Arabidopsis thaliana: one gene and its partner. The protein of the gene in region 2 interacts with the protein of the main gene of each other region in a pairwise test. Each region holds a gene or a part of one and is shown on either strand. Other genes may lie near its edges. The genes, in order: CHX10 and AT1G66920.

Region 1 (16,769 bases), on a different chromosome or scaffold from region 2:
CCACGATAATTTCCTTGATGATACCTCCCTAAGATTGAACAATTGAGGCCCCAGAATCAGACCAGCCTGAACATAAATATACATTTATTAGCATGTAGGATTGTCAAATGTTGCTTAAAACGTTTTCGTGCTTGTCAAGTTACATCTATTTTTCCTGTTACGTGACCGTCAAGTTTCATGTACAAGGATACTTACCAACATATAAGAGGGAATCGGGGAAATGCCAAAGCTTTTAAGAAAACTGTGAATTATGATGATGAATACAAATATGAGTAATATCTGAAATTCCATGAGAGGCAATGAATACCCGAAAATCACATCCGGTGACTTTAGGTTTTCCCAAAATCCAAAAGAAGAGATGTTGAATACTAAGGGTATGCAACCGCGGATATAGCTCGTTGTATTCATAAATTGTGGAAACTTGGTGTATCAACTCTGGAGAAATAAGAAGGAAAAAAAAAAAAAAGGTTTGAAGAACTTGTGAGTTTTTGCATATGAATTTCAGTGGTGATCGTGTCATTTTTGTTGTTTACTTTGTTTTGGTCTTGATTTTTTTTTTTGTCTGAGAGTTAGTTAGTCAAAAACTGTTTGGATATTGATGGGTATGATTTGCTGGATGAATTACAAGCTGGAAAATCTATACATAAAACACACACAAAAGTACAGAGTTTTATTTGCTGACAACAAATATTTTCTGTTACTAATTGACCCTCAAATTTAGAAACACTAATCCACACATAATTTTTTTTTCTATGAGTACTTCACAATAAGTAGAATCCTAATAATCTGTAAAAGTATACTTTTAATGAGAGCTCGTTTGTCTCTTTAATTTTTCCTTAATTTTTTTTTGTCTTTTTCTCTTCTATTGTTTCTTGAATATTCTTCCGGTTTGAATCCTCAGATTGTCACAAAAAGTGACAAAACCACACCTTATAAATATAAGACATAGATTTATTTTTCATAGGGTAGAGTTGGAGCAGGCAGCACCCCAAATACTAATCGTTATGTGTTTTTTTGGCTTGCACATAGTTTTGACTTTTGATATTAAATAATTAACTACCCGAGAACAAAAGTGTTGTTTCTAGTATAATAAAAGGTAACTCCCATGTTGTGAGCTGAAAGCGTAACCAGAAGCAAAAACCAGCGGATTTGGGAGAGAGTGACAGCGTATCCGGCAAGGTTACTTTTGTTGTGAACGACGAATCGGAGGGTCCCGGTGCAGTTTATATTCCCTCTCATATTTCTCCATGAGCAGTTTTTTTACTCCGGTGGTCTGAAAAAGCCCTTGCACGTGTCAACAGTTGAGGAAAGATTATTTGACATCAGTAGTCAGATATCTCGAAGAGCATGTCACCCTAAAACTCCTTTCAACAACAAATGTTGGACATTGAAGAAGAAGAGAGCATCCTCTACCAAGTGTATATGGATGTCTCTAAAATCTCCAAATCCTTTTCTACATCAAGAGTCTCCACATACTCGACCATCTCTACGAAAATTGTGCTTGTGAATAAGAAAAAAATAAATAATGTACCAACGTGCTGTTGGCCTAGTGGTAAATTTCCCAGATGTAGGTGATGTGTTCGAGGCACGTTGGGAGGGATCTCTTCTCCACAGGAGATGAATTTAACCTGTTGTGGGTCCCGCTTCTGGGAGATGTAGGATCTTTGAGCTTGAAATTTTAGATATTTAAAAAAAAAATAAAAAAAAAATAAAGAAGTAAATAAATAATGTAAAATAAAGCTATAAAGACGCAATTAAAAACATGATACATCAATAAAAGAGAAGGAAGATGGTTGATATGAGTTAAATAATGGAGTTAGAGTTGTTAAGTTTTGATATATCATAGTTCATAAACTAAATAGAGGGAGAATGTTAGAGTCAAATTAATTGTTAATATCCTTGAAGAAAAAAAAATTACATGGAAATGGAAAATGGAGAGTTGTTTGAAGTTTAAAGCTAGAGTCAAATTATTTTATTCTCCTTTAGTGATTTAGATTTTTGTTACGTTTTATGCTTGATTCACAACACAAGATCTTCACAAACTTTCTAAAACTCAGCAATCGAAACTTCGAATCAGCTCAAGAACAGAAACGAATTGAAGAACGAAAGAAACAACACAAGAGATTTGATTACCCAGTTCAACAAGATCGGTATGATCAAGTTTCGGCCGAATCAGTTCGGCAATCCACTAGAACAGAATGAGAATTACAGAGTACAAGCAGAGCTCAACAATGGAGTTTCAAGCTTTTCTTTTTTGTTTGTTACAGATCAGAAACGGATAATGAAGAAGAAGAAATAAAGGCCTTTTATACTAATTCCCAAATAGAAACAGAAGACCCTCTCTCGCGAAAAGAAGGTTTCCTTTAGCCTCTTCAATCCGGTTTAAAACACTCCATCTAACCGGTCCTCAATTCCTCTTAACCACAACACCTAAACCGGTCACTTAAAGTTGAATCAGAATTAAGATCCACAACAATTTTTTTTTTGTTTTAAAGGGATCTTTTGAAGTTTTGAAAACTTAAGGAAAAATCAATTAGATGCTTTTTAATTCATTTAGAAGATATATGTGTGTGGAGATGTGTATTTTAATTACATAAGGGTTTCATAGTCTTTGTTAAACGTGCGGCCAAAGAGAAAAAATCATGTAATGCATGTGAGGTTAAGAGTCGTTTTGACTATTTTAGGACTGATCATTGTGGTGTTATTGTTCGCGTGGCCGCCATTGTATAACTGGAATTTAGCGATGCCGATATTCCAAGAGATTTGTATGGATATTATATTTAGACAAATGAATGACTATTTATACATGTTAAAATTTTCTAAAGGTTAGTCCTAAAAGAACGCATAGTCTTACGGTCAAAACATGTCACGTTTGTTGTTGTTGTTGTTGAACTACTAAAACCGAGACCTTAGAGTTTAGATCTCTAGCCGCCAGCAAATCCCCGATGACACCTAACTCTGGTAGTTCGACCCATTCCGTTAGTCCTGATAAGTCTTGTGATGTCATATCATGATCTCTCCCGACCACCATTAGATCGTACTCTTCTGCAAGCAATTGGACAGCTTTGACTACCTCAACGACACTAGTCACAATCCTCTCTGTATAAAGAATATCTTCATTGGATTCAGTACTCTTTAAATCCTTCAGGCCCTCGTTATCAAGAATATAGTCCCACTCTGACTCTATTTCATGGTCGAAGATGAGTCGGATCACGGTTACACGGACCCGCGGGTTATATTTCATCCTCTTCACCAATGATAGTGCCTCCCTATCGTCTTTGCCTCCAATGAAGAGCACACCAACATCAATGTTGTACCTATTCTTGCTCGTTACATAGCTTTTCCGCGAGAATTGTCCACGATCTACTAGTATGCCTATCGAACAAGGCGCACGATCGAGTAATGACTGGTTTAGTTGTCTTGCAGCAAGGTCGTCAGACTCGAACATCCCATCTACGGTCCATTTCCTCCCCGATGGGACGACAATCATCGATGTTGTTCGATCAAGTGCAAGTGTACATATGTCTTCGTGCATCAAGTTTTCATGCGAGAACGCGGTGAACGTAGTCACGGTTACAGACTCTAAGCTTTCTTGCATGAACTGTCTAAAGGCAAGATTTGCGGTATGGATGTACGAGTTTTTGTGAAGCCGCTTCAACTTCTTGTCGTGTGACACTATGATAGGGTTGATCTGACCAACTAGCTTCACAAGGTGGAGAACTGTGACCGCGATAGGGAAGTCATGTATCGGTGAGGAAAACAATTGGAGGAATGCTATGGTCTCCGAGACGTTTTCTGGTTTGTGCAAACAAGTTAGAATTCGAAGACCTGAGTTTGCTTCTAGATGCAATATGTCCCTTTTCTGATAATTAACGTACTTTCGTTTCGGATCGTACATGCTCCTTACGACCATAGGGACAATCCCTGCACTTAGTAGCGAATATAGGATTAAGAACGCGTAAGTGGCCTGTGATATGAACTGCAAAATCAAACCATAAAAACATGTTTAGATTTACGGCAAAATCAATAATAACAATAATAGACTCGTTTGTGGGTTAGGAGGTTACCTTTTCTTCTAATACAGCTTCATAGAGAACGAATTCAACAAAACTTTTGTAGCTTAAGATGAGGGAAACAGCCAAGGATTCACTGCGAGGTAACTTGTAGTACAAGCAAAGTGTAAGGCAAGCAACCAGTTTTATGACAAGTATAAGCAATGTTAGGAAGATGTTGAAGTAGATGTCAGTGAACTGGCTAAGGATCCTTAGTCCATCACATCTCATCGCGCTGAATGTGATTGAGATTGGTAAGAACACGTTCATCGTGAGCCTCTCAAACTTAGCCTCCAGAGCGGATCCTAACGGTGGACCCTCTGGTATGATGATGCCGATAATTAATGGTCCTAAGACGTATTTCATGTTGAAAAACACAAAATAAGCCGCGGAAGCAAATGCTGTCAGAATCACGGCATGAATGTATATATCCTCCACGGGCTTGTCTTCGGGTGTGCGGTCTATGATCCATTGCACCATCGGCTTAAAAACAAAAAAGACGATGAGAAAGAAGATGATCACCGCGACAAGGTCACGGTAAGCTATTGCATGTGAAACATGAATGTAGGTTGCTTGTGTAGTGGCGACTATCATGGCAAAAATCCCCAACATGTCGTTGATGGCACTTGCAGATAATGCAAGGCGACCAAGCTCGGAGTTGATGATCTTGAGCTCTAGCAATATATATGTAGTGGAAGGCAAAAGTATCTGAGACTGAGTTATGACAATCACAGTGCGCTCGGCCAGGGCTTTGTCTAAAGACATGTAGTGAGGGTCGATGTTGTCAGTGAAAAGGTTCAGGAAACTGAGACTAAACAAAGGAGCAAAGAAGGACACGATCCCGATCACAACTGGCAATTTTCCGCTATGGAACGCCACCCGCCTGCTGGTCCTAACAGTCATTAGAAACGTAAACATTAGTCTTCCAAATACTGAAATGCATCTTAACGCTGCGGTTCCATCCAACGCAGGATCCGCCGATAGTTTTCCTGAAGACTTCTCTAGTATATCGAAAAGCTGAGGCCCTAGAATTAGTCCAGCCTGCACATAAATTTATATATAGTATGTTATTTTTGGAAAACTATCTTCATGCACGCATTATCTTCTATGCGCCTTAAACAATTTACGTGCATGTCAAGTTACATGTCTACTTTTGTAGTTCTAATAGATACAAATCTTAACTTTTGTATCTTTTAGATACATGTTTTTTCCCATGCAAAAAATCTTTATTTTTGTAGTTCTACTTTTCTCTTATGTGTTTGTCAAGTTAAATATGGAAAGCTGCTTACAATCATATATGAAACGATCTGGGAAACGCCGATGCATCTGAGGAACATATGAGACATGACAATGCAGAAGAATATCAATATTATTTGAATCTCCAGGAGAGGCAACGAGTACCCGAAAACCACATCAGGCGATTTTAGGTTCTCCCAAAATCCCTGAGAAGATATGTTGAAGAATGATATCCGGCAATGCCCAATGTAAGTAGTCGTGTTCATGAATATAAGTCCAAGAAATTAGCAAAACTTGGGGATGAAAATACCGTCTTTGTGTGATAAAGTTTCAAGTCTTTGAATTTGGGTTTTGAAAGAAGTCGTGTTAGTTTATTGTGATGTTTTTGTCTGGTCTTTGGTAAGTATTTGTCATGATCTCTCTGGAACTAATGGAACTTTCCAATTTAGAAAACAAATACCACAGAGAGGAAAAAAAAAATAGTTGGTTCTTTCATGGAGAATTTGCTTTGCTAAATAAAAAATTGCAAGTTTTGAGGTTTGATACACTGCTCCAAAATTAGCACAAAGTGTCTGTTCAGGGACCCAAGTTTAGGTCTATAGCTTAAAATCCGATTACACATAAATTTAGTCTAGAAATATTTTCTAACTGCTTCAATATATGATCTATATAAGTTTATAATTAATGTTTTTTCCTTCCCTGGATAATACTTATAAGTATAATTATTTTGGTCTAATAATACTTCTAAAATTAGTGACCACCCTAAAATCTGATGTACTACACTATGATAAATTTAGACGTGCATGCGAAAAAAGTGAGGAAAGATTTAAACCATATTTGAATAGGTGAAGAACGAAAATGAAAATGAAAATGGGGAGAAAATGGAGCTAGTACATAAGCTTCGAGAAAGAAGAAGAAGAGAAAATGAGAACAGGAGAAGAAGAAGAAGACAAGAAGCCAGCAGCCGAGAAGGAAACCGAGTTCTTCTCGTAGCTCCTCGAGTCGCAACTAAGTTGAGCTGATTTGGAATCCTTTTGCTTAGGTTTAGATCTTTAGATCAATCTCAATCTGAACCTACGAAGATGTGAATGAGATGAGAAGGAGACGTCAATCATATGCGAAAGAGGAAGGCACAGACAGATATATATGTCAATGTGCTGTGCACAATAACGTGATGTGTTTGATTTTCTAATGGATGTCTTTTTGTGTGATTTTTCTTTTCAAATTTAATGCATTTGTGTGTCTAGACTCTAGATGGCCACGAGGCCCACGACTGGATCGGCAAGGGAGTAGAGGCATATTGAAGACGGATGAATCCTAGACGTTGAATTGTGGCCCAAGTTAGGGTTGCTTGTTTTCTAAGAGATTATTAAGTGGGTTAGAAGGATGAGTAGAGCTGTAGAGGCATATTGGGGTTGCGTGAAGACGGATGAACCCTAGACGTTGTATTGTGGCTCAAGTTAGGGCTGCTTGTTTTCTAAGAGATTATTAAGTGGGTTAAAAGGATGACTATCAAACTTTGAACAGAAACCTTAGCGAGATATAGAAGATGGAGAGAGAATCTCATCTTTCGACTCCTGATCCCAGCTCCTATGATATTTTTGATTTTGCCTCATTATCAACAATTGATGTCTCTATATGATTTTATTTGAGGATAATGCGTAACAGTGTAACACACAAGTTATCTATGTTGTATATTATTAGGAGAGACTTCATAATTTCTTTACTGGATCGGAACAGAGCCAAGGGTATGTATCTCAGATCCTGAACTTGAAAAACATATCTTGTCGAACAAGTTAGGTTTCTTTGTAAAATCTAAGACATGACTTGAGGCCGTTAAACTTGTCGGCCCCAAAGAACAAGTTAGGTTTCTTTATCGAATCTTGAACCCTGCTTTCTCCATCGATAGGCTCAATGTCTTTAATACTTCTTCCTTAAACTCGATTTGAGATATTATTAACCCTTAGAGAAAGCAGATATACATTAAGCTACATTTGGTTGTAATTTAATTTTGTTGATCATATCAAGACCACTGTGATATTAGAGGAGTGGAGAAAAGAGAAGAGTAAGGAAGAAACAAAGCAACCGAAGATTAAATTGGAAATGAACAGATAGATTTCCAAAGACTAACAAAAGATATAATATAAAACCCCAAATTCAGAAACTTTCTCCCAACTAGAACTGGTAATGTTTTTAATATTTTCAAAGGGTTTCTTCTTAGACAATGTTTCTTGCAGTTGAAGAAACATGTTTCTTTCTTGAAGATAAACATGGAGTCGCTTCGACTTTACAGACCAGTGTCAGCTTTGGGCAACCTAATGTTCTAAGAATACCAGAAGCTAGTGAAAGAGTGAAAGAGTGAAAGGACGGATTGAGAAACACAGAGTTGAGCTGGAGGAAGTATAACAATCTGAATCAAAGTTTATGGTTATTCCTTCTTATGGATTCTAAGTATGTTTAATTTGTATATAATGTAAAAAAATTTGTATGAATATATACGCATATTATATTTAAACAAATGAATGACTATTTATACATCTTAAAATTTTCTAAAAGTTTGCCCTAAATGAATACACACAGTCTTGCGGTCAAAACATGTCACGTTCGTTGTTGTTGTTGTTGAACTACTAAAACCGAAACCTTAGAGCTTAGATCTCTAGCCGCCAGCAAATCCCCGATGACACCTAACTCTGGTAGTTCGACCCATTCCATTAGTCCTGATAAGTCTTGTGATGTCATATCATGATCTCTCCCGACCACCATTAGATCGTACTCTTCTGCAAGCAATTGGACAGCTTTGACTACCTCAACACTACTAGTCACAATCCTCTCTATATAATCAATATCTTTGTTGTCTTCAGTACTCTTCAAATCCTTTAAGCCTTCGTTATCAAGAATATAATCCCAATCTGACTCTATTTCATGGTCGAAGACGAGTCGGATCACGGTTACACGGATCCTCGGGTTATTTTTCATCCTCTTCACCAATGATAGTGCTTCCCTATCGTCTTTGCCTCCAATGAAGAGCACACCAACATCAATGATGTACCTTTTTTTGCTCGTTACAATACTTTTTCGCGAGAATTGTCCACGGTCTACTAGTATGCCGATAGAACAAGGCGCACGATCGAGTAACGACTGGTTTAGATGTCTTATAGCAGTGTTGTCAGACTCGAATAACCCATCTACAGTCCATTTCCTCCCCGATGGGACGACAATCATCGATGTTGTTTTGTCAAGTGCAAGTGTACAAATGTCTTCGTGCATCAAGTTTTCATGCGAGAACGCAGTGAACGTTGTCACGGTTACAGACTCTAAGCTTTCTAACACGAATTGTCTAAAGGCAAGGTTTGCGGTATGGATGTATGAGTCTTTGTTAAGCCGTTTCAATTTCTTGTCGTGTGAGACTATGATAGGGTTTATCTGACCAACGAGCTTCACAAGGTGGAGAACTGTAACCGCGATAGGGAAGTCTAGGTTCGGTGAGGACAACAATTGTAGGAATGCTATGGTCTCTGAGACGTTTTCTGGTTTGTGCAAACAAGTTAGAATTCGAAGATCTGAGTTTCGTTCTAGATGCAATATGTCCCTTTTCTGGTAATTAACGTACTTTCTTCTTGGATCGTACATCCTCCTTAAGACAGTAGGGACAATCCCGGCATTTAGTAGCGAATATAAGATTAAGAACGAGTAAGTGGCTTGCGATATGTACTGCAAAACCAAACCATAAAAAAATGTTTAGATTAATGGCAAATGATACCAATAATCGACTATTTGCGAGTTAGGAGGTTACCGTGTCGTCTAATACAGCTTCATAGAGAACAAAATCAGCAAAACTTTTGTAGCTCAAGATGAAGGAAACAGCCAAGGATTCACTGAGAGGTAACTTGTAGTACAAGCAAGGTGCAAGGCATGCGACCAGTTTTATGACAAGTATAAGAAATGTTAGGAAGATGTTGAAGAAGATGTCATTGAACTGGCTAAGGATCCTTGCTCCATCACATCTCATCGCGCTGAATGTGATTGAGATTGGTAAGAACACGTTCATTGTGAGCCTCTCAAACTTAGCCTCTAGAGCCGATCCTAATGGTGGACCCTCTGGTATGATGATGCCAATCATTAATGGTCCTAAAATATATTTCATGTTGAAAAACACAAAATAAGCAGCGGAAGCCAATGCGGTAATAATCACGGCATGAATGTACATATCCTCCACTGGCTTGTCTTCCGGTGTGCGGTCTATGACCCATTGCACCATAGGCTTAAAAACAAGAAAGACGACGAGAAAAAAGATGATCACCGCGACAGTGTCACGATAGGCTGTTGCATGTGAAACATGAATGTAGGTCGCTTGTATAGAGGCAACTATCATGGAAAAAATCCCCAAGATGTCGTTGATGACACATGCAGACAATGCAAGGCGACCTAGCTCGGAGTTGATGATCTTGAGCTCTAGCAAGATATATGTAGTGGAAGGCAAAAGTATCGAAGATTGAGTTATGACAATCGCAGTGCGCTCACCTAGGGCTTTAGTTAGAGGCATGTAGTGAGGGTCGATGTTGTCAGAAAAAAAATTCTGGAAACCGAGACCAAACAGAGGAGCAAAGAAGGACACGATCCCGATCACAACGGGCAATTTTCCGCTATGGAACGCCACTCGCCTGCTGGTTCTAACAGTCATTAGAAACGTAAACATTAGTGTTCCAAACACCGAGATGCATCTTAACGCTGCGATTCCATCCAACGCAGGATCCACGGATAGTTTCCCTGAAGATTTCTCTAGTACATCAAAAAGCTGAGGCCCTAGAACTATTCCAGCCTGCACATAAATTTATATATATGATTTCAGTTTCTGAAAAATATCTTCAATAGCACGCATGCATGATCTTCTTTGTCCCTTAAACAATTTACGTGCTTGTCAAGTTACATCTACTTTTGTAGTTCTAATAATTGGAAATATCTTGTGTGCTTGCCAAGTTAGATATGGAAAACTTGCTTACAATCATATATGAAGCGATTTGGGAAATGCCGATGCATCTGAGGAACATATGAGACATGACAATGCAGAAGAATATCAGTATTATCTGAATCTCTAGGAGAGGCAGCGAGTAGCCGAAAACCACATCAGGCGATTTTAGGTTATCCCAAAATCCCTGGGAAGATATGTTGAAGAATGATATTCGACAATCCCCAATGTAAGTAGTCGTGTTCATGAATATAAGCCAATAACTTAGCAAAACTTGGGGATGAAAATGCTTTTTTTTTGTGTTATAAAGTTTAAGTCTCTGGAAAAGAAGAAAAAAAAGTGTTCATTCTTTGAATTTGGGTTTTGAAAAGAGTCTTGTTAGTTTTTTGTGTTGTTTTTGTCTGGTCTTTGGTAAATAGCTGTCATAATCTCTCTGGAACAAATGTAACTTTCCAATTTAGAAAAAAAAAATATATATATCCAGAGAGTAACTGTTTTTTTTTTCCATTTTGTTTGTTCAAAAACGTAAAATCTAGAACATGAAGAATTTGCTTTGCTAAATAAAATTGCAAGCTTGGAGGTTTGAGCCAAAATTAGCTCAAAGTTTCTGTTTGGGGACCCAAGTTTATAGTCTAGAAATATTTTCCAACTGCTTCAATCTAAGTTTACAATTTTTTTTCTTTCCTTCCCTTGATAATATTTTTTCCGATCTAATAATACTTATAAAATTAGTGACCACCCTAAAATCCGATATACAATTAATCCGATAGATCTATATATACATTTTTGCAACCATTTTGTGAAATAAATCCTGTAGTTCGGATTTATTTACAATGGTTGCCACTGGATTTTAATGTTTGTTTTTGATAATTAAAAAGAAAATCTTCGAATTAAATATTTGACATTTAACAATCTTCCCAAAATCTCTTCATATTAACTACATGATTATTTACTAAAATAATACTTCTAAAATATTTAATATCATTTAATTACTACAAAATTATCATTTTTGATATTGCTTTTCTCCATAACTATAACAATTCGATTATAATCATCAAAGCGCAGAGATATAATCTGATAGCATTTAATTACTACAAAATTACAAAATATTTAGACAATGATTCATAAACATATCATAAATAAGATCAACATTAATAAAATAAATGGTTTTTTTTACAGGACGGGTTTGGCAGGACGTTACTTAATAATATTTGTAAACTATAAAATAAAATTATTTTATAGATAGATATAATTTGTAAACTTTTATATATATACTAACTTTAAAAAATAAATTGTTCCCGTGGTATACCGCGGGTTAAAATCTAGTTTAGACGTACATACGCAAAAAAGTGAGGAAAGATTCAAACCATAATTAAAATGTTTAATATGGCTGGTGGTCAAAAGTTTATCTGAAATTTCTGGTGCTTATTACCTTTCATTACCTCAATTACTAAAAACATCTGAAATATGAAATAATTAAAATCAGTATTCAAGTTAAATTATATTACAAATATTAAACATACAAAAAAATGTTGTATTTTTTATTGTTTTAATGGTGAGAAATGGTAAAATTTTTGGAAAATGTTTTAACAATAAAATACACCAAAAATAATAATATATAATCGTTTGATTTGCTCAAAGGCTGATTTCAAATGAGAATCTTTCAAAATCTACCACTGAATAAATACAGATTAATTGGTGGACAAGATGTGAGATTCATGATAATAGAGCAAGATGATGAAATTGAGGACAAGATCTAGACGCAACAGAGAATTTCCAATCGAAGATAATATCTGGAGACAAAAATGCGGAATTATATAAGGGTTTGTGGATCTATGGTCGTTTTATCGAAGTTATCTTTCAAAATTTCTTTCAATCTAGATCTTGAAAAAGAGAAATTTTAATTTTTATGTGCCAAGTTCACATTTTTTCTTAACCATTAATCTGTATTTATCCACTTTTACTAATTCTTGCTATACACTTTTAATTCTACAATTTTTATACTTATTTTGTTTTTGGTGAATATTTTTATACTTATTATTTCAAAACTAAACGCAAATATATTTTATATTAAAAAAAATTTAAATTCGAGAAAGAACTCTCAGAAATGATCATGGTAATTTCTTCTCCAAACGCCTTAATTTGTTTAAGAAACCTCCCTCAACTTATATTTTGATGCATAAATCGCCCTTCTCGATAAAGGTGTTAGTCAACCGTTATTCACTCGTATTTTTCGACATTTTACCAAACTTCTGAGCTCTAAGTAAAATACAATGAAAATTGAGATAACTTATTAAAAGTGAACTTAATTTCATAAACTGTTATAAAAGCATAATCTTCTTTCACATATTTTAAACCATCATAAGCTACATGGTTTAGACTATAGAATCTTAAATTCTTCTGCTATAGAACATGAATCTTATCCGCTGATTACTGTTGAAGCCATTTGTGGAGAATGCTAGCTTGGAGTTTTCGAATTTCAGGTTTCGGACATTTGACTTGATTCCGAACTATATGATGGAGGAATATAATGAGAATGTAACCATTGCGTGGTAGAGTTAGAGGACGCAACTGAACTGTCAAAAAACTATATGTTGCTTGGAAGACAAGGACTGCAATATGAACATTGTAAAAGAGACTAACATTGTAATGGTTAACTTGAGTATGCAGTTTCAATTAGTGTTCATAACGTTTAACTTTTTCTATCCCTATCCATACCAAATCTTGTTTTCAGGAATTTCGAGTATATTCTTCAACTGAAACTGGTTTGTATACAAAATAAAAAAAATGGTGTTCCTTCCAGTTTTATAAAAACCAACAATGAACCCCCATATCGATTTCTCTAATATTTATAAACTTATTTTATAAAAACAAATGTGTATATTTGTATAATTTTCCCTTTTAGTAAGTCTCGTTAATTTTATTTTCCCGTAACTAAGTGTCAAATCAATAAAAAAGGAATAAGCATAATCATGACTTTGTAAAGCTTCAAAAGAAAAGAAAAAAAAACAAGATTTTCTCGTACAATCGAAATTTTTCTTGTCTGAAAAAAAGAAAGAATAAGTAATTTTATAGTCTTGAAAGAATTTGTAAGCAACACCAAGTATTGGACTTTTGCTTTAATTAAGGAAAAGACCAATTAATAGAGAGAATAAGGTCTATATATATAATCACTCTTAACTTTTCCCTTTAAATATCTACGTATACATTATTATAGACTTTTTGACCAAAAATCCCTCAACTATTTATTATTTTCAATATTAGTCCTTACAAATATAATCTCAAACAAATAATTTATAACTAAAAATTTACAATTAGTTAATTGCATTAATTAGTTGAATTCACTCCAAAGACACTTAAATTGTTATAGAAACTTATCATAACTTTTTTTGAATCACATAACTCCAACGCCACAAATTTTTTATAGAAAGTTTTCATACTCAACAATGTGCATTCATTTCAAATAAAATTCTCACTTCAGATATATGGTAAATATCAAACTACATATATGACTTTTCCTAGATAATACAAGTTTTAAATCATTATTACTTCTAAAAAAAACTCAATTCGTAAACAAAAAATACTGAATTTTAGCATAATAAACTAATATTCAGCAAATATCATAACATAAAACATGAATAACACAAGCGATAAAAATTATAGAATTTTGAATATATTATTCATATACAAATAATAATACTTATAAAAATATTTATAACTTTTCAATGAATATATACGCCCGCAGTGTACCGCGGGTCAATATCTAGTAGACTATTAATAATGGGATTACAAAACTAGTATACCTTCGTCTAAATTTTTGATAATTAATAACAACTAAACTTTTGTTCTTTTTGTAATCAGAATTCCGATGTTTGATAAGTTTATATTAATCTATGATATTATTAGACTATATAGTTACATTGGATTTTCAAACAAATTATCATTTTATCAAATTATGTTAAATATTACCTTGATCTGACTCGAGATCGGAAAATAATTAATTTATAGTGATTATTAATTTATCGAATGTTAATTTATAAAGGTCATTTTTCGTACAAAGTATTTACGAATCTAATCGGTTTTAGTGGTTTTTGCTTCCTAGCCATGAAAACCGGATTTAAACGGATGAGTATACAGAACATAAAACTCAATGGCTCTTCCCAAACCCAATGCATTTCAAATTTTCTTGTTTTCTTGCATACATCTTATATTCTCAATCTTAATTTGGTAACTGAATAATGATCTTTTCTTACAAAATTTCTCATAGAAAATTCAGGAAATTGTTTCTACTTGGGAGAGCGACATCAAATATGGCATTACTCAAGCTCGGTATGTACAAGACTTGGTGGATGTTGCTACTCCGTCATTTCTTCTAAGCCGCTAGCATCAAAACGAGTTTCGAGCTCCCTCTCTTGGAGCAGTGATTGGAGAAGTTGATGATGTGCAATGTGGACCTTACACTCTTACTCTGTATTGGCGAGTAAAGATCTGTGGTATCCATATTATTGGGTAATGACTATGCTCATGACATACGTTATCATCCCAAGAGCACACAACTCCACGGTTTAGCAATGAAGATGGATATGCTAGAGGATGAAATGAGCCTTTGCAAAGTCATGATGCTCTATTTAGCAGAGGGACGATCGCTAGAGTTAATAGAGAATATATTCAGATCTTCCAAAACGAAAGGAAGAGTGATATATAACACCATGATCTCGGTGTATGGAAAACACTTTGCTGAGAATGCACACCAGTTGTTTCTGGAGATGGTCAACAACAGAATTCGTCTCAGCGGTCACACCTTCAAGTATCATCTAGAAGCATGGACGATAGCCTGCAAACCACAAAGGACTCTTGAATTCTTGCATTTCATGATATTGTTTTTTATAAAGGTATACTTTCCATGTATTATAATAGTTTTGACACCAAAACATAATTTTGAAAAATGAGATCAGTTAGAAAACGTTGACATAATTCTTTTCCCAAATTTTTATGGTAATTATTTTCTTTTAGAGAGTAAGGTGAGAGTTCTGTTTTTTTCCTTATTATATATGTTTTTTATAAAGTTTCATGTTTAATGTTTTCTATGTATGTTTTGCATTCTGATTTTGATTTTAACAAATATAACATCTAAGATCTTTAATTATTTTTGTTTGATTTCTTGCAGGGTAAGAAAAAGATGTAGGATTCTAATTTTTTTATTTGATCTCATCTTCCAAGTTTTTAAAAATATTTGAGCAATTGATGTCAAAATGGATAGAAAACAGAGAAATAAGCTAAGAATATTGTATAATTTTATTATAATATATGTATTTTTATTTCTTACGTTTTAACCTCCACAAATGATACGTTGGGTTAATTAAAAAAGATATGTCATGTTATATATTTTAGTCTCCTATAAAAGAATTGTTACTATGTAACAATCTATATTATTAATTAGGAATCATTCGATATAATATAATCTTATAAAGAATAATATATTATAAAAAAATACCATTGGTACTTTTGCATTTTAGAAAAAAATCGTCGAAGGATAAAGTGGAAAATTGGCAACTAAAAAGAATGCGGGTCTTGGGCTTGGTATCGGATAAACACTCGGATCTATAAAGCTACAACGTCTACTTTGATCTATAATATTATCTACAAGTAAAAAAAGGGATATTGTTGAGGCAACTAAGCACAAAAGCAAAAAGCATCGGACTAAGAAATGAAGAATAAGAACATTTAGGATGAGAAGACTAATGAGAAGGAAATTACATATGATAATACCAAAGAGAAAGAAAGGGATAAAATCAACACCTAAATTTATTGGTTTTTGATTTTTAGGTTGTTCTTGGCAATTTCTTTTGTTTTGTATTCTTTATATCCCTATTTGCCTTTGTGTTGTTTTAATTCTGATAGCATTGTTATGCTTAATAAATAAAGTGTCTAACTCTCGGTTTAAAGAATGAAAGTTCTATGTTATCAGTTGGAGAAAATTTTAGAGTGCTTAGACAACAAAAATAACCAAAACTAAGATAGAATACTTACATATGATCCATTTGATGGATAGTTCTCCATCGTTAATCCTAGATTAAAAAAAGTTATAATAATAATAGCGGAAAAAAGTCAATCCCAAATGATTTCATATATATCTCCGTGAGTTTAAGTATGTAATTTTGTAAAAGTAAAGTAAACAATCACCTGGTACTTTTGTTGTTGAGAAGAAGAGACATTGAAAACGAATAGCTTAAAAATACTAAGAAAGTGAAGCCTCAAAAACACCATGTCTGTGCAATATTGAGAGCTCACGAGCTCCGACAAGATGGAAAAAAATAGCAATTAATGAGCCATGAAACGAACTAGATACTACTTCATATGTAACATATGCTAACACTTATCTTTCTGTTCAAATGTGTAATTCAACAAACAGACAACAAAATTGTTTCAAGTATTCATTTGAAAACACAAAATAATATTTTACAATTACTTTTTATAATTCATATCTATACTATTATCCAATTCACTAAAAAACA
Region 2 (16,289 bases):
ATTATTTTGGACATTTATATAACGGAAACGGTTACATCATTTCGTACGTTAGAATTTAAAACCATGCACATTCATTAGATTTGACCTGTAAAAATTTCAAAACTTTGATTCCACGGTATATATTGATATAAGGTCGCCATTTCCCTATGGCGTGTTAAGAAAGAAAATAGGGCCCCTATGGATCATATTCTGATCGTTTCCCCAACCATCATCATTAAATAGTTCTGATTTTGTCTTTTTGTTGAATGTTGATGATCCTCGAACTGAATTACAAAGGGAAATGAAGAGAAAAGCTAATATCGAGGATAGAAAAAGTTGGTGATTTTTGGTTTGATATTCTGTCTTAGTCAGAAGTCATTAAATGCTCAGATCAAAATGTCTTAACATGTTAAATATATCGCTAAATTCAAAATTTGACCATTTTGATTCAGCAATTAGAATGTGTCGAGGTCATCTGGAGCAATCTGGATATGACTCATCTTCGTGTTTTCATGGGCTTTATATTTACGTCGTATGTACCTCATCTCCTAGTTTATTTTGTCGTTGACACTTAATGGGTTTTCATTGGGCTGGCTGGATTTGTGCTAAATCCAATACCAACAATTTTTCCCTAGTTATTGGAGGGAGCTAGTATATTCGGAGAACTAATCATTACTGTACCACAATTATGTCACATCAAAGATTTGAATCTTGTGTTTCCATGGCACACCTTCTTTGGGATGTGTTTACAAGATGTTTTTTCACTCCACATTGGATTAACTGCAAGGAAAAATTGTGTTAAGATAGAACAATTAATAGTGTTCCCATAATCATATCCAGTTCGAACAATGCTGAGACCTCATCAACTACGTGGTAGGACCGTATAGAGAATTTTTAGTGCTTATTAGAGAGACATTTCAAAATTTTAACTTGGAGAAAAAAACAAAGAAATTTCAAAAGTAAACTTGACATCATCACATGTCTACGCTTCTGTCTCCCCCACTTGACATGGTCCTCAGGACAGTCTCCCACTTGACATGGTCCTGAGGCTTCTTGTCTCTCTTTCTCTCTCTGTATCTCACTAATTCATTTACTCTGCTTCTCTCAACACAAACCAAACTAAGAAGACACATTTTTCATGAACCGAACTAATCATGTATCATCTTCCCACTTCTTGTCTAGTTATATTCTTCCTCCTCTCCTTATTTCACCCTCTTCCTTGTGATTCAAGTAATCAAGGACTTGGCTGGTGTGAGACTTTGTTTCAGTGCGGAAACATCACCGCTGGTTTCCCCTTCTCGGGTGGGAATCGTCATAAAGAATGCGGTCATCCATCGCTGGAGCTTCACTGCAACAAAAACAACATCACCTCTTTATTCATCTCAAACCAAAAGTACTCTGTTCTCCGTATAGATCAAACATCTAACACTCTTACACTTGCCAAACAGAACCTTCTAGGTTCTTTTTGCTCCTCTGTATTCACAAACACAACCTTGCCTCCCGAAACTTTCGAGCTTTCACGGACCTACAAGAGCGTCACTATATTCTACCAATGCTCCTCTGTGCTTCCTAACCTTTCTAGCTATACATGTCCTGAGATAGGTCCCATCTCAGTGTCTGAAAGCCCTGAAAAATATCCTGAGAGCTGTCGTTCCAGTTTCACCGTGAAGGTTCCCACGAGTTTCGATACAAAAGAGAAAGAGTTGAATGTGACCAATTTGGAAAGTGTTTTAAGAAAAGGATTTGAGGTGACGGTGGTGATCAATGAGAATACATGTCAGGAATGTTTATCCTCTCTTGGAAGATGTCATGTCTTCAACGAAAACTTAACACCAGGAGTTAAATGTCGTCCACCAAGTGGTAAGTTTCATACACTTATAGACATAAATTACTTACTAATGAGCTTAAGAGAAAAGGTGAGGACAAGGGATAAGCTTAACTTAGCATTACTCTTTTTCCTCTACTACTTTGTTTTCTTGCTTTTGACTTGTTCCACACCATACTTTTCAATGTGTGTAGACTCTGAGGGTTCTTGTGGATATAATCAGACCTCAAGTACGTTCCTCTGCTATTGTAAGGATCCGTATAGCCTATCATGCAGTTCGGGCAGTAAGATTTCTTTCATCGGTTCATTTACAGACACTCTCTTTAGTTTCATGATTTCGGTTTCACAGTTTCTGTGTTCATTCAGCGCTAACTGTTTTTCTTTTTTTTTTGCGCCATTTTATCGATACAGAATCTAATATTAGATGGATAATAGGTACCGTTAACCTTTCCTCTCTGAGTTTATTGTTCTTTAATCTTTGGTTTTATGCTGACAAATTTTACTTGTTTAATGGTTATACAGGTGGTGTGTTGATCTTGATACTCATAGGTTAGTTTTTTTTGCCTCGAGACTATTCAAAATGTTTTTTTTTATATTCTTAGATTATATATACAAAGTTACTAACCAAACATTTTCTCTGTTTTTCTGCATTGCTTTTTAGTATCAGGTATTATTGTTTCCTTGGTGTTTCTTTGCCTATGTTGCCGAGCCAAGATTGTCAGAAAGAAAAAATCATCAGATGCTCTTGAAGTCCCTCCTAGACCTATTAAAGAATCACCAACACTTTCAGAGGATATTAAAGCACGGACTTGATCTAAGAAGCCGCCGTGGAACTTTTGAATTGTGTTCTTGTATACTGATACTTGTTCTCTATTTGTTATGCAAATAATATTTACAGACATTAACTTTATAGGATCATTTCTCTAGAGTCTAGAGTATGACTTTCAAGACAATATTTTTTCACAAACTTGAAGATTCCTATTTTCAATCTCGGAGATGCTTGAACTTTCCTCAGTAATCCAAGAAGATTCAAGAAGAGGTCCTACATGAATTTGCTGCAAAACAGGTCTAGGTGGAACTTCAAGAGCATCCAAACTTCCTTCCATCATCTCTACAACTTTGTTCATCGGTGGACGATCTGATGGGGAAGACTGAATACACCACAAACCCACCAATGTCATCTTCTTTGCTATCTCCTCTTCCTCGCTGCTGATTCCAATCTCGATATGCTCAAGATCCCCATTGTCTGCCTTCTCAAGATCCTTATATATCCATTCTGGAAAGTACATTGAACTTCCGTTCGCAGAGTTTTGACCAAATCGTTCTTTCTTCCTTGCACCTATCATTTCGAAGACCAACATTCCGTAGCTATACACATCTGACTTGTGAGAAACACTCCCATAAACTCGAGAGATCATCTCTGGTGCAATGTATCCTATTGTACCTCTTGTATCCATCAATGACATGACACTCTCTTTCTTCTCGCATAGTTTAGCAAGTCCGAAATCAGAAACTTTCGGGGAAAGATTATCATCCAACAAAACGTTTTGAGGTTTAATGTCGAAATGCACAATCCTCGTTTTGCAGCCATAATGCAAGTACTCTAGACCACGAGCAACGCCTAGCGCGATCCCATACAGTGCCGTCAAGTCCAAAATCACTGAAGTCTTTTCCGAGATGAACTTATCGAGTGACCCATTCTCCAAAAATTCATATATAATAGCTCTTCTTGAACCTTCAGAGCAGAATCCAAGAAGAGAAACAATGTTGACATGAGATGTTTGGCTCATGCTAGAAACTTCATTTATAAAGTCTTCGCTATTATTACCCTTTGATTCTTTCAAGACCTTCACCGCAACCATACGGCCATCACAAAGAGTTCCTCTATAAACTATTCCAAACCCGCCTCTCCCAACCACTTCCGCAAATGACTTTGTCATTCTCTTTACTTGTGCATAAGTATAATGTTTGAGTGGAATAAGGGCCTTTAGCTTCTCTTGTCTCCGATCATCTGATGTTTTTCTATTCCGGAAAATTCGGACTTTGCAACAAGGGCACAATAATACAAGGAAAGCAATGAAACCTCCTATTGTACACAAAGCTGTCAAAAATAAAACAGAGAAACTCTGTTTTATTAGTAACTTTATTTGATTGAGCAAAAAGAAATATCTCTAGTTATTTAACTTACCTACGAAAATGCCGATGATAATAGCCACTGTAGAACAAATAAATAAGTAAAATTAGTCAGCATAAAATTTTGAAACGAACAAAGATTTGCTCCGAAGATTAAATCAGTTACTCCAAGAAAGGTTAAGTACCTATTCGATTCCCGATAATATCTGCAACAATCAAATGGTACCAAAAACAAAGTCAGTTAGAAATGAAAACAGAACTTTGTCCTTTGAAATTAAACTTAATAAGATGGAAGAGAACTTACCATCTAGGTTTATATCGCATTGGTTATCTTGCGGCCCATCTTTACAATAACATACAAACAAACTTGAGTTCTGATTATATCCACAAGAACCGCCAGACAAAACACACATAGAACAATTTGAGTTATCTTGAAGCTCAAAACCATGTTCAAGAGCCATCTTTAGATTGTTTGAATTTGGATTTGTCTGAAGTGTGTTTAACGCCGGTCCAGACGCAGGAACACTGACTTTTCTTTTGCACATTTCTCTTAAGTTGTTTAAAACTCCTCTAAACCTGTCAAGTAAAGGAGATGAGAGGTTTCTCGTTACATAGTAACTTCTTCCCTCATCACAACCAAGCTCTCCAAAGTAGCTACTAGGAAAAGGAGAAGTAGCAGATGAATTAAGTTGGCAGTCGTAATATAATGTTAGCAACTCTGTGTCAGCACTGAATTGAAGGACTGTTTCGATGAGAGGCTCATCATTTAGTGGGTTTGGGGGACAAAGATCGTTGAGATAGTCTGATCTGGCAAGTCTTTTGTTAGAAGAGTCATAACTCATATTTAAGATTCTGAAATTCACGGAGGCTATGTTAAGCTCTGCGAATCCTCCGCTACAGTCAAGCTTGAAGTCAGGGTGGCCACAATATTCTCGACCAGGTATCCAAAAGGGGTAATAGAGATTTCTCTGATTGCCGCAGCTAAACCGTTCACTACAGCGGCGCCTAAGCTCATCAGCTGAAACATAAAACAAAAATGGGATCACAAAGAGCATCATTTGACTTTAAGACAGAGAATTCGTCAACAACAGAGATAGCTTGATCATTTTGTTATACTCTTGTTTTGTTTCCTTGGAGGCCACTCAATAGGATTAGGTGAGAAACTTACCGCTAGGTTGATGTTGTGGTACGCAAGTAACTCCACCAGAAAGTGAGGTTACGTTGCAGCATATCTGTGTGGTACTGTTGAAACCACAGATTCCACGACTGGATGAACATTCTTGACACGGTATCTCATCGATCACCAGCTTCACTTCAAAACCTTTTCTTAGAGCACTTTCCAAATGGGTCAGATTCATCTCTTTCTCCTCTGGAACAAAACTAGTTGGAACGTTAACTTTGAAACTGTCTTGGCAGGAATTTTGGTAATCAAGGCTTTGAGACATAGAGAAAAGACCTAGATCAGGACATGTATAACTTGAGCGGTAAGATAGCTTTGGATCACAGTTATATAAAACGGTGAGGCTCTTATAAGTTGGGAATAGCTTAAAGATTTCGCGGGGGAAAGTTGGGGTATTGAATTCAGCGGAACAAAAAGAACCTAGAAGGTCTGTTCTAGCAAGTCTAAGAGTATTAGATGTTTGATCTATATGAAAAACGTTGTACTCATGGTTTGAGATGTTTAGAGAGGTGATGTTATTGAGGCAGCGAAGCTCCAGCAACGGATGACCGCAAGGTTTGGCACGATTCCCACCCCAGAAGGGAAAACCAGCAGTGTTGTTACCACACTGAAACAGAGCCTCACACCACCCTAGGTCTTCTTTACTTAGGGCCCAAGGAAGAGGGTGGAATAAGAATAAGAGGAAGAACAAGACCAGACAAGAAGTAGGCATATAGGACATGATTTGTGAACAGTGTGTCTCCTGCGTTTGGTTTGTGTTGAGCGGAGAGGAGCAATTGACTTTAGATAGAGAGCGTGAGAGAGAGAAGCATAGAGACAGGTGACATATACAAAAATACGAAGATCTTACTTTGATCACATTACTTTACCAGTAACAATGAAATAAAACAATTTTATTGGGAAGGAAAACTAATTTTATTTCAAATAGTAAATGCCAAGTGGATCATTAAAATGAGATCCAAACTCTTATTTATTTTTATTTTGTCAACTATCAAAACTCATCTCGTAGCTAACAAATAGTGTTTTAAATATTTTAAACAAGCAAACGTACAAAATACCCGTACTCAAAAATTCGAATCAAACTAAATTAGAAATATCTGATACGAACTGGTCTTAGAGGCCAGTATTACGGGCACCGAAACTTTTTGATCCAAACGGGTACTTAAAAAAAAAAATCTAATTAACCCATTTTTATCTAGTTTCGGGTACTTAGTTTACTTTTTGAGTACTTTAAATTCGTTTGGAAATTTTTTTTTGTACTGGAATATTTTGAGTAATTCATATATTTTTGGGTAGTTTGGATTTTGTTTACCGGGTTTAGAAACAATTCGAATAATTCAACTGTATTTTATTTATTTGAAATATAATGTTAAATTAAATCTAAAAGAAAAAAACAGTTTAACATCAAATACATAAGTTTTCCAAAGTCAATGGAAATCAAATAATTTTTTTGCAGAAAATAAAAATATTATTATTTAAAATAATAAATGTCAAGTGGATCCCTATAATGTGTTGTTTTTTTTTGTCAACGGTCAAAACCATTGTCGTAAGTCGTAACTAACAAATTAATGTGAATAGAACAAGCAACATTGTCGTAACTAATAAATTGATGTTAAAGAATTTAGAACAAGCAAAATTATCATGAATTGAACAAAATTTTCAACATTCTAGAAATTGATTTCTTAATTGTAAATTTAGATGTACTAATTAAATGTGACAATAATTAGCTGATATTTCAAAGAAAAAAAATATTTTAAGAAAAAACAAATGCCAAATAGACCAATGGGGTAAAATAAAAACTTTCTTTTACCCAAAAGTTAATAACTCAAATGTTTAGACTTTAGAATATACAAAAGCACTATCAAGCGTTAAACAAGTAACTCACCAGACTTTAACTTAGATGTACTAGTTACATGTGACAACAATTAGATGATGACATTTCTTGTGGGAACACATATTTTTTAAGAGAAAATGTCAAGTGTACCATGTGAGATCAAAGCCTCTCGTTTACCCAACAAATTAATGCTTCAGATATTTTATATTTAGAACATGCAAAAGCACAAGTATTAAAATAATAAGTCAACATTCAGAAACTTATTTCATTAATGTGGATTGATTTAATGAAGTAATTAATTACATATAAATATACTCATAGTTACATGATAGTTTGGAGAAACTATATTTTAATTTAGGAAACAAAATGCAAGTGGACCGATTGGGTGATATTAAAACCCTTATTTTTATCCAACAAAATAATGCTTCACTGATGACGAATCACTACTAAACCAGAGGAGTGTTTTCTTATTCTAAACTTTGTGTTCTTCTAAAAAAAATAAAAAATAAAGAACTCGTCATAGAGCTCATAACCGATTCGTACTCAAACCAGAGCTTGTTTCTAGAAACACTATTGGTCATAATATTGGAGACATCCTCAGTAATCAGTACAATGTCATCCGGTTTTATCATGACTGTAGATATACGTGTCTTGTTTGGTCTAATTTTCAAGAAAATAAGAACAAAAATGTTTCCTTTTTATTTTGCTCTATTCTATTTTTAAACCATCATCTTATTGTCATCCGAAAGACTAAACTAGAACAAAGAGAAGGAACAAATTCCTCAGTGCCACCAATGCTGCAACAGTTCACTGGAGTCAGAGACATGAGTCTCAAAACGTTTCTCGAACATAACTTCTTACCAGTTGTAGCTCTTGTCGACATCCCTCGGTTGGTTCCTGCACCTAAAAATTTACACGTTTTGAAATACATTTTAATTTTCATTCTAAGAAATGTATCAATTATAATTATTTCTTAACATTATTTATATTAGTTTAATGTTGTTACTGAATTATTAAATAAGAAACCCGTTTGGTAACACATCCTAATCTAGTATAATTGAAAGTGTGAACCTAAGTCTTTGACTGAACAAATTATTGACTTTTCCAATCTCCTATATTCTCTTTTGTCATCTTTAGAATAACGAAGACAAACAGATTTAGGAGATAAGAGATAGTATGGTAAAGCTTTATTGGCAAATCCCTCTCATTCCCACTGAAGACTTAACTCCACAATTTACTAAAACCAAAATCTAAAGAAAATAATTGAGAAACACCATTTTTAGGGTCAACTAATATAGACGTGATAAAAAAAAAGACTCCAAATCTCTCTGTATCTGTCACTATCATTCCTTGACTTAGGGTGCTCCTTTCCGATATCTCTCTCTTTTTGCTACATCTCACCACAAGACACATTGTTCATAGATCAAACCGATCATGTACTATCTCCCCAGTTCTTGTTTGGTCTTGTTCCTCTTCTTCTCTTTATTTTACCATCTTCCTTGTGCTTCAAGTAAACAAACACTTGGATGGTGCGAATCTCAGTTTCAGTGTGGAAACATCACTGCCGGTTTTCCCTTCTGGGGAGGGAATCGTCCCGAAGTTTGCGGTCATCCATTGCTGGAGCTTCACTGCCTTGATAACATCACCTCTTTAACCATCTCAGACCATTTGTACCATGTTCTTAGTATAAATCATACATATAACACTCTAAGAGTTGCCAGAACAGACTTTTTACAGTCCATTTGCCTCTCTCCATTCCCATTCGCCAACGCGACTTTGCCACCAGAAATATTCGATATTTTGCCAACCTACAAGAGCGTCACACTCTACCGTTGCTACCCTGTTATTCCTGACCTTGCAAGGTACGGATGTCCTGCGATAGGTTCGGTCTCAGTGTCTGACAACCTTGAAAATCCTGTTAGCTGCGAAGCCCGTTTCACCGTGAACATTCCTACGAGTTTCGTTCCAAACGAGAAAAGGTTGAATATAACAAGTTTGGTAAGGGATGTAAGAAATGGATTTGAGGTGAGGTTGAGAATCGATGAAAATTCGTGTCAAGAATGTTCATCTTCTCATAAATATTGCGGCTTTACCGGAACCTTACCATTAGAAACTAAATGCCGGCCACTCAATCTACCAACTCGTAAGTATCTTAATCCTTTCATATCCATTTTCTTTAACAACTTTATACTGAAATGAAACTGAAAATCATTATTGTAGGCTTGTCTTCTGAAGCGAAAATAGGTGTTTTACCTTCTCCTATTCTTTCAAATAAACTTAATTTGGTTATGAATACTGTTTTTGATCTTTTTAACCAAACAATTTTGTGGTTTCAGCTACAATAGCAGGTGTTTCTCTACTTCCATTCTTGGTCTTAACATTGGTTGTCCATATTATCCGAAAGCAAAAAACTTCAAATGATAAGGGTCAACAAGACCTCAAGGAACATATTCCAAAACCAAGAATCAAAGCACTTATTCAACTGAAGCAATATAGCTACGAACAAGTGAAGAGAATTACAAACTCATTCGCAGAAGTGGTGGGGCGAGGCGGATTCGGAATTGTCTATAGGGGAACCCTTTCTGATGGCCGTATGGTTGCAGTGAAGGTTTTGAAAGACTTAAAAGGTAATAATGGTGAAGACTTTATCAATGAAGTTGCAAGCATGAGCCAAACTTCACATGTCAACATTGTTACCCTCCTAGGATTCTGCTCTGAAGGTTACAAGAGAGCAATTATTTACGAATTTATGGAAAACGGGTCTCTTGATAAGTTCATCTCAAGCAAGAAGTCATCAACTATGGACTGGAGGGAACTATATGGGATCGCGTTAGGCGTTGCTCGTGGTCTAGAGTACTTACACCATGGTTGCAGAACAAGGATTGTACATTTCGACATAAAACCACAGAATGTACTCTTAGATGACAATCTTTCCCCGAAAGTATCAGACTTTGGCCTTGCTAAGCTATGCGAGAGGAAAGAAAGTATCTTGTCACTAATGGACACAAGAGGAACGATAGGGTACATTGCACCTGAAGTGTTTTCGAGAGTGTACGGTAGCGTCTCCCACAAGTCAGATGTGTATAGCTATGGAATGTTGGTTCTTGATATAATAGGAGCTAGGAACAAAACATCAACCGAGGACACTACATCTAGCACAAGCTCAATGTACTTTCCCGAATGGATATATAAGGATCTTGAGAAGGGAGACAATGGAAGGCTTATCGTGAATAGAAGCGAAGAAGATGAGATAGCAAAGAAGATGACGTTGGTAGGTTTGTGGTGTATTCAGCCTTGGCCATTAGATCGCCCGGCGATGAACAGAGTGGTAGAGATGATGGAAGGAAACCTGGATGCTCTTGAAGTGCCTCCTAGGCCTGTTTTGCAATGCTCTGTAGTGCCTCATCTCGATTCTTCCTGGATTTCAGAGGAAAATTCAATCTCCTCTGAGATATGATTTTCTCTGTAAACTGTAACTCGCAAGCTTTTAGCTTATGAGTAAATCTCTGTCGTTTGAACGTAAATTTTCTTTGCATAAAAAAGAATAGAACACATTTGTTGAATTTTCTAAGGTCAGTAAGTCATAGACGGTATTTAATGCATGAACAAAAACAGGTTTTGGTTAGGAGAAAGTGTGGTCTATGTTTACAAATAAGTCCTTCCATTCCCACTCAAGATTTAGTTCCATGTTTTGCCTCAACTTCCTAGAAAATTCTTACAAATTAAACTGACTCGTCTTTGATAACTCTAATTTTCTGTATTATTACTATTCGGAAAAACTAAAGAAACTAACTTTTGATTTGTAGATATTACAGATACTATATATCATTAGGAATATAGAATGAGAATTAGATTAGAAATGATATAGTTGTTTCGAGAAGGAAGGTAGTGATATCATCCATACTCAGAAGGAAGCAACATACTCGTTTTGGTTTTAATCTGGACCTATTTATTTCTTCAATTTTTAGATCACTATCAAGTTTTTAAATGTACTTATTTTTCATGAGGGGACTCAAATGGACTATGCATATATCAATCAAAAACATTCTTAGTTTATGTAATTATCATTTTATTTTTCTTAAAGTATGTGATATTCCTATATACCATTTCTCAGATTTTCTTAAAGAGAACATGTAATTTATCTTTCAGTTGATGGAAAACAATGACATTCCCCGTGATCTGCAATTGGCAATTCCTTGGATTGTATGGGGCATTTGGAAAAAACAGGAATGAATTTTAATTTGATGGTAACTTGGTAAGCAAGGTGGCCTGAACCTTCTTATGGAGACATCAGACTTTTGGAATAAACAAGAATGCAATGTCTTCTCAGTTTATGAGGAGAGGGTCTGTTGGTGGTATTTCTAAAGAGACCGTAGTTGTCAGAGAAGACCGTTATGCACGGTAATTTTGTAGAGTGATCGGGGACAATCTGTGGTCATGAGTTAGAAGTTGGCCAGGAACAAACTAACAAGTGTGTTAGGGTTGTGTAAGACCGATTAAGTGTAATCTTTGCGGAAAGGAGCAGTATATATATCAGGACGTATGGTTGTGTTTGTTCTCCTGTTACTGAGCTTAGAAAGAGTTCTAACTTAACTGATTTGAAAATTGGCATGAACTAGTCACAAATTGAATTTTCATCTTCGATATCAGTTAGTTTCAATAGTGAATGACGGTCTTTGCCTTTTTTCACACTCCAATATTTTCTGTAATATCTTTAGATTCTCATTAGTTTTCAGAAATAACTTAGTATCTGAAACTAATAAGGACTCCAAAAAAGTCTCTTTGTATATGTCACTGTCCTTCCTTGACTTTGGGTCAACTAACTTTCCTTGACTTGATCCTTTTCGACCTTCACCATGGCCACTTGCTTCTTATCGATTTATCTCTTCTTCACCATCTTTTTTTTATCATTCACCTGCAACACGATGATCAATTTTTCTCTTTCTCTGACCAAATCTATGTCCTATAGCTTCATATGGATGCTCTTTGTGATCCATATATCTTGTGTTTTATCAGCCGATGGGAATCACATACTCTGCAGTCCCTCGTTTACTTGTGGTAATCAGAGAGGTCTCTTGTACCCTTTCTGGATTGCTGGCAGAAAAGAATGCGGTCACCCTGACTTCGAGCTTGACTGTAACGCAGGAGTCCCAGAGCTTAGCATTTCTTCTGTCAAATTTAGAATCCTAGGTGCGGATTATGACTCTGGTATCATAACACTCGCCAGATCCGATAATATCGACGATCCGTGTCTCCCAAATTCCTTCACTACGTCATTCAACGAAACCGTCCTTCCACTTGCTTCTACCACCGACCTGCTAACCATTTATTACGACTGCAACCGAAACGTTTCATCGTTTGTTTCTACTTTTGTTAAAGAGCTTGATTGTCCAGATGATGGGACTGATGATAGAAGAAATTATTATCTGACGAGAAACCTCACGTTCCTTCCGCCGTCCCTTAAACTTGAAGGGAATAGTTTCCTTTTAAACGACTTTGGGGGATCTTGCAGTAGAAACGTCAGTAATCCCGCTTCTAGAACCGCGCTGAACACACTGGAGAGTACTCCAAGTACAGATAATCTAAAGATTGCACTTGAAGATGGTTTCGCGCTTGAAGTTAACTCAGATTGCCGGACGTGCATAGACTCTAAGGGTGCTTGTGGATTTAGTCAAACCTCAAGTAGATTCGTCTGCTATTATAGGCAAGAGCCACAAAACCCTACTAGAAACAAGGGTATTATTTCCTACATGTTCTAATTTCCTAATGGTTCTTCCACAAGAATCACCACTAGTCCCTTCCCTAAATCGACTTTTTGATTGGATCATCTACAGAAAATTCTCTTAGTTTCTGATAACTATATACAGAAACTCCTTCGAGTTTCAAGTTTTTCATTTCCAGTAAGATTCACAGGTATGTATTTAGTTCGAATACTAACCTTTTTTTCTGGTGCCATTCCACAGATACAAGCCTCTCTACTGGAGCAAAAGCAGGTGCTTAACCTATTTCTAATTTGAATACCTTGTTGAAGGGGTTGTTGAAGTAATATTAAAACTATTTTTTATCGTTATTTATGTCTTAGGCATTGGGGCTGCTTCCTTTGCAATGATGGGCGTAATTCTTGTAGTCACATGTTTGAACTGTCTCATCAGACGGCAAAGAAAGACATTGAATGATCCAAGAATGAGGACATCAGATGATTCAAGACAACAGAATCTAAAGGCCCTTATTCCACTGAAACACTATAGCTACGCGCAAGTAACGAGTATAACGAAGTCATTCGCCGAAGTGATTGGAAAAGGCGGATTTGGAACTGTTTATAGAGGAACACTTTATGACGGTCGTAGTGTTGCTGTGAAAGTCTTAAAAGAGTCGCAGGGTAATGGTGAAGACTTCATCAATGAAGTTGCAAGCATGAGCCAAACTTCGCATGTCAACATTGTTACCCTCCTAGGATTCTGCTCTGAAGGTTACAAGAGAGCAATTATTTACGAATTTATGGAAAACGGGTCTCTTGATAAGTTCATCTCAAGCAAGAAGTCATCAACTATGGACTGGAGGGAACTATATGGGATCGCGTTAGGCGTTGCTCGTGGTCTAGAGTACTTACACCATGGTTGCAGAACAAGGATTGTACATTTCGACATAAAACCACAGAATGTACTCTTAGATGACAATCTTTCCCCGAAAGTTTCAGACTTTGGCCTTGCTAAGCTATGCGAGAGGAAAGAAAGTATCTTGTCACTAATGGACACAAGAGGAACGATAGGGTACATTGCACCCGAAGTGTTTTCAAGAGTGTACGGTAGAGTCTCCCACAAGTCAGATGTGTATAGCTATGGAATGTTGGTTCTTGATATAATAGGAGCTAGGAACAAAACATCAACCGAGGACACTACATCAAGCACAAGCTCAATGTACTTTCCCGAATGGATATATAGGGATCTTGAAAAGGCACACAATGGAAAGAGTATCGAGACTGCAATCAGTAACGAAGAAGATGAGATAGCAAAGAAGATGACGTTGGTAGGTTTGTGGTGTATTCAGCCTTGGCCATTAGATCGCCCAGCAATGAATAGAGTCGTAGAGATGATGGAAGGAAACCTGGATGCTCTTGAAGTCCCTCCTAGGCCTGTTTTGCAGCAAATCCCCACAGCAACTCTTCAAGAATCTTCTACTTTTTCAGAGGATATCTCGGCATACACAGAAATATGCTCCATAAATGTTGCATAAAGAAAGAAACCCTCTTTGGAGCCTATTAAAGCCAAAAAAAGTAGCCAATACATTTATTTATTTTTACAGCTTTCTCTGGCATGTTATAGAATCATAAAAGTATGATCCATGAATGTGAAATAAACAAAGTAACCTCTTTGGAACCTACTAAAGCATGAAAGCAGAAAATACATTTATTCACGAAATGTACTATACTGTTTACATTCCAGATTGACCCATTGTGTCACCAGACTAGACCTTTTTTTATCTTTTAATGACTAAACCTATTACCACTCTCATCTTGAATCTCTCAGGCTTATTACTTTCTTTTGAACTTTCTGTAGCCAACTGTCTAGCCTTCTCTGAAAATAACCCATTTCAAACATATCAGCTATCTCGCTATGTGGGAGCTTGCTCTGCTTGTTTGTTGCCAAGTGATACAACAAATTTCTTCAGATGTCTGATGAAATCTGGATAGAGTTCAAGGTCACAGTGTCCACCTCCACTTATCCACAAAGGTTCATACTTCTCTTTGCTGAGTTCCCAGAGCCGTTTTCCGTGAGACCAATCAACTACTTCATCCGCAGTACCCTAATAGACCAACAAGAGAGTTCAGTGACCTGTCTTATAACAATCACACTCAAAGCCAAAGCAATGCAAGAAGTCAGATGATGGTGTCACTTACATGGATTACTAATACAGGACAGGTAACTGAGCCGATCTTGTCAATATTCTGAAAAACATGAAATTGCGCCATTTTAGAAGCTATATATGTAATCAGAAGCAAATTTGATGTTTAGTAAATCACCTTGTAAATGTCAAACCAATATGTACATTTCACAGGATACAAAACCCTCATCCCAGACAGGATAGGACACTGTAAAACCACGCCTCTTAAGTTAGGTGTGCGTGAAGCTAGATCAACCGTAGGTCCACTACCAACAGATTGACCATATACTATCAGTTGATCGTCTTTTACACCGTACTTTTCCTTGAGGCATTTATATGATGCCTCTATATCAGCATATGTATTACACTCGCTAGCCTGATTCATATACCAAGTCTATATCAATGAGAAACAATCCATGAAAGTTCATATTTCATAACACAGAGTAGTAATCTCGAAACTACACCTGTCCAGTAGACTGACCATAACCAGAGTAATCATACCTGAGAAAGAAAAACCGATGAACACATTAGAAAACAATCTAACAGTCACTAATATATGAGAAACAATTTATCAACGGTGACGAAAGCAAGATAGCAAGTCATAGAAGACCTTTAGATGGAAATGAATCAATCACGAAAGGAAAGTTGAAATGTTAAGTCACACATTATAACAAAATGTAACAACAGATCCTAGTTTTGGCAATGACAAGCATAGGGAAAGTGTGACTGATATGGATTAATTGCCTCAGGTTAAAGGCACAAACTTTGAAACTATAACACACTGTTTGTTTTACATGGATTGATTCTTCTAACAACATATTACTATAAGACCACAAAAACCAATTCTACTTAAATTCTCAAAAACTTATCCTTTACTAAAAAACCTAAAACACGAACAATTCATTACATGTCTATAACAATGTATCAACAGATCCTAGTTTTGGGGCAAATTATAAACAAAGAAAAGTCTTAGTTTTTCGATGAAAATGTCTCAACTTTGAAGCTCTAAAGCACTGATCTTTACAAAGCAAAGCAAAGTAGTAATCTTTCTACAAAATGTCTGAACTTCGAAGCTGTAACAAACCAATTATGCATAATGTCTTAAGATTCAATAACATAAATGTTTTACCCCATAAGATTGACGCGAAGGCGATTGCTAAGCTCAACGAAAAGCTCAAACATTTGACCCAAATCAGCAGCGTTACCATGAGAATACAAAAGCGTGCCATTAGCTTTTGAATGTTTCACATAAACAGCAACGATCTCATTACCACAACGAGTACGAAGCTTCAATATATCAACATCATCACGGCGAGGAATCTCCGGTATGTATAAACGTCCACCGCAGCTATCGTCGGCTATAACCTCATACGACGGTGGCGTTGGTGGAAAGAAAGCAAATTTAGCAGCGATCGATGATGTAACACCTCCCATGATGATGAATTCTAATTCATAAA

What was found.
Region 1: the proteins of AT1G66920 (region 2) and CHX10 interact in a protein complementation assay, tested with the Arabidopsis thaliana proteins (one large-scale study listed by BioGRID).

Annotation. Positions count from the first base shown.
Region 1 is NC_003074.8:16,394,172-16,410,940, forward strand, and holds CHX10 (cation/H+ exchanger 10), read right to left. Parts: upstream 10,654-16,769; 5' UTR 10,502-10,653; coding exon 10,289-10,501; intron 10,108-10,288; coding exon 9,082-10,107; intron 9,000-9,081; coding exon 7,887-8,999; 3' UTR 7,720-7,886; downstream 1-7,719. Other genes in the region: CHX12 (cation/H+ exchanger 12), read right to left, coding at 1-66, 196-408; CHX11 (cation/H+ exchanger 11), read right to left, coding at 2,867-3,979, 4,068-5,093, 5,342-5,554; AT3G44935 (uncharacterized protein), read left to right, coding at 14,832-15,146, 15,422-15,439. UniProt on the Arabidopsis thaliana protein: May operate as a cation/H(+) antiporter.
Region 2 is NC_003070.9:24,959,529-24,975,817, reverse strand, and holds AT1G66920 (Protein kinase superfamily protein), read left to right. Parts: upstream 1-8,231; 5' UTR 8,232-8,385; coding exon 8,386-9,094; intron 9,095-9,171; coding exon 9,172-9,195; intron 9,196-9,287; coding exon 9,288-10,408; 3' UTR 10,409-10,684; downstream 10,685-16,289. Other genes in the region: AT1G66940 (kinase-like protein), read left to right, coding at 1,134-1,839, 1,999-2,088, 2,216-2,353, 2,466-2,617; AT1G66930 (Protein kinase superfamily protein), read right to left, coding at 2,749-3,905, 3,993-4,019, 4,123-4,143, 4,242-4,955, 5,106-5,838; AT1G66910 (Protein kinase superfamily protein), read left to right, coding at 11,877-12,687, 12,995-14,184; AT1G66900 (alpha/beta-Hydrolases superfamily protein), read right to left, coding at 14,563-14,754, 14,849-14,896, 14,972-15,208, 15,297-15,333, 15,962-16,266.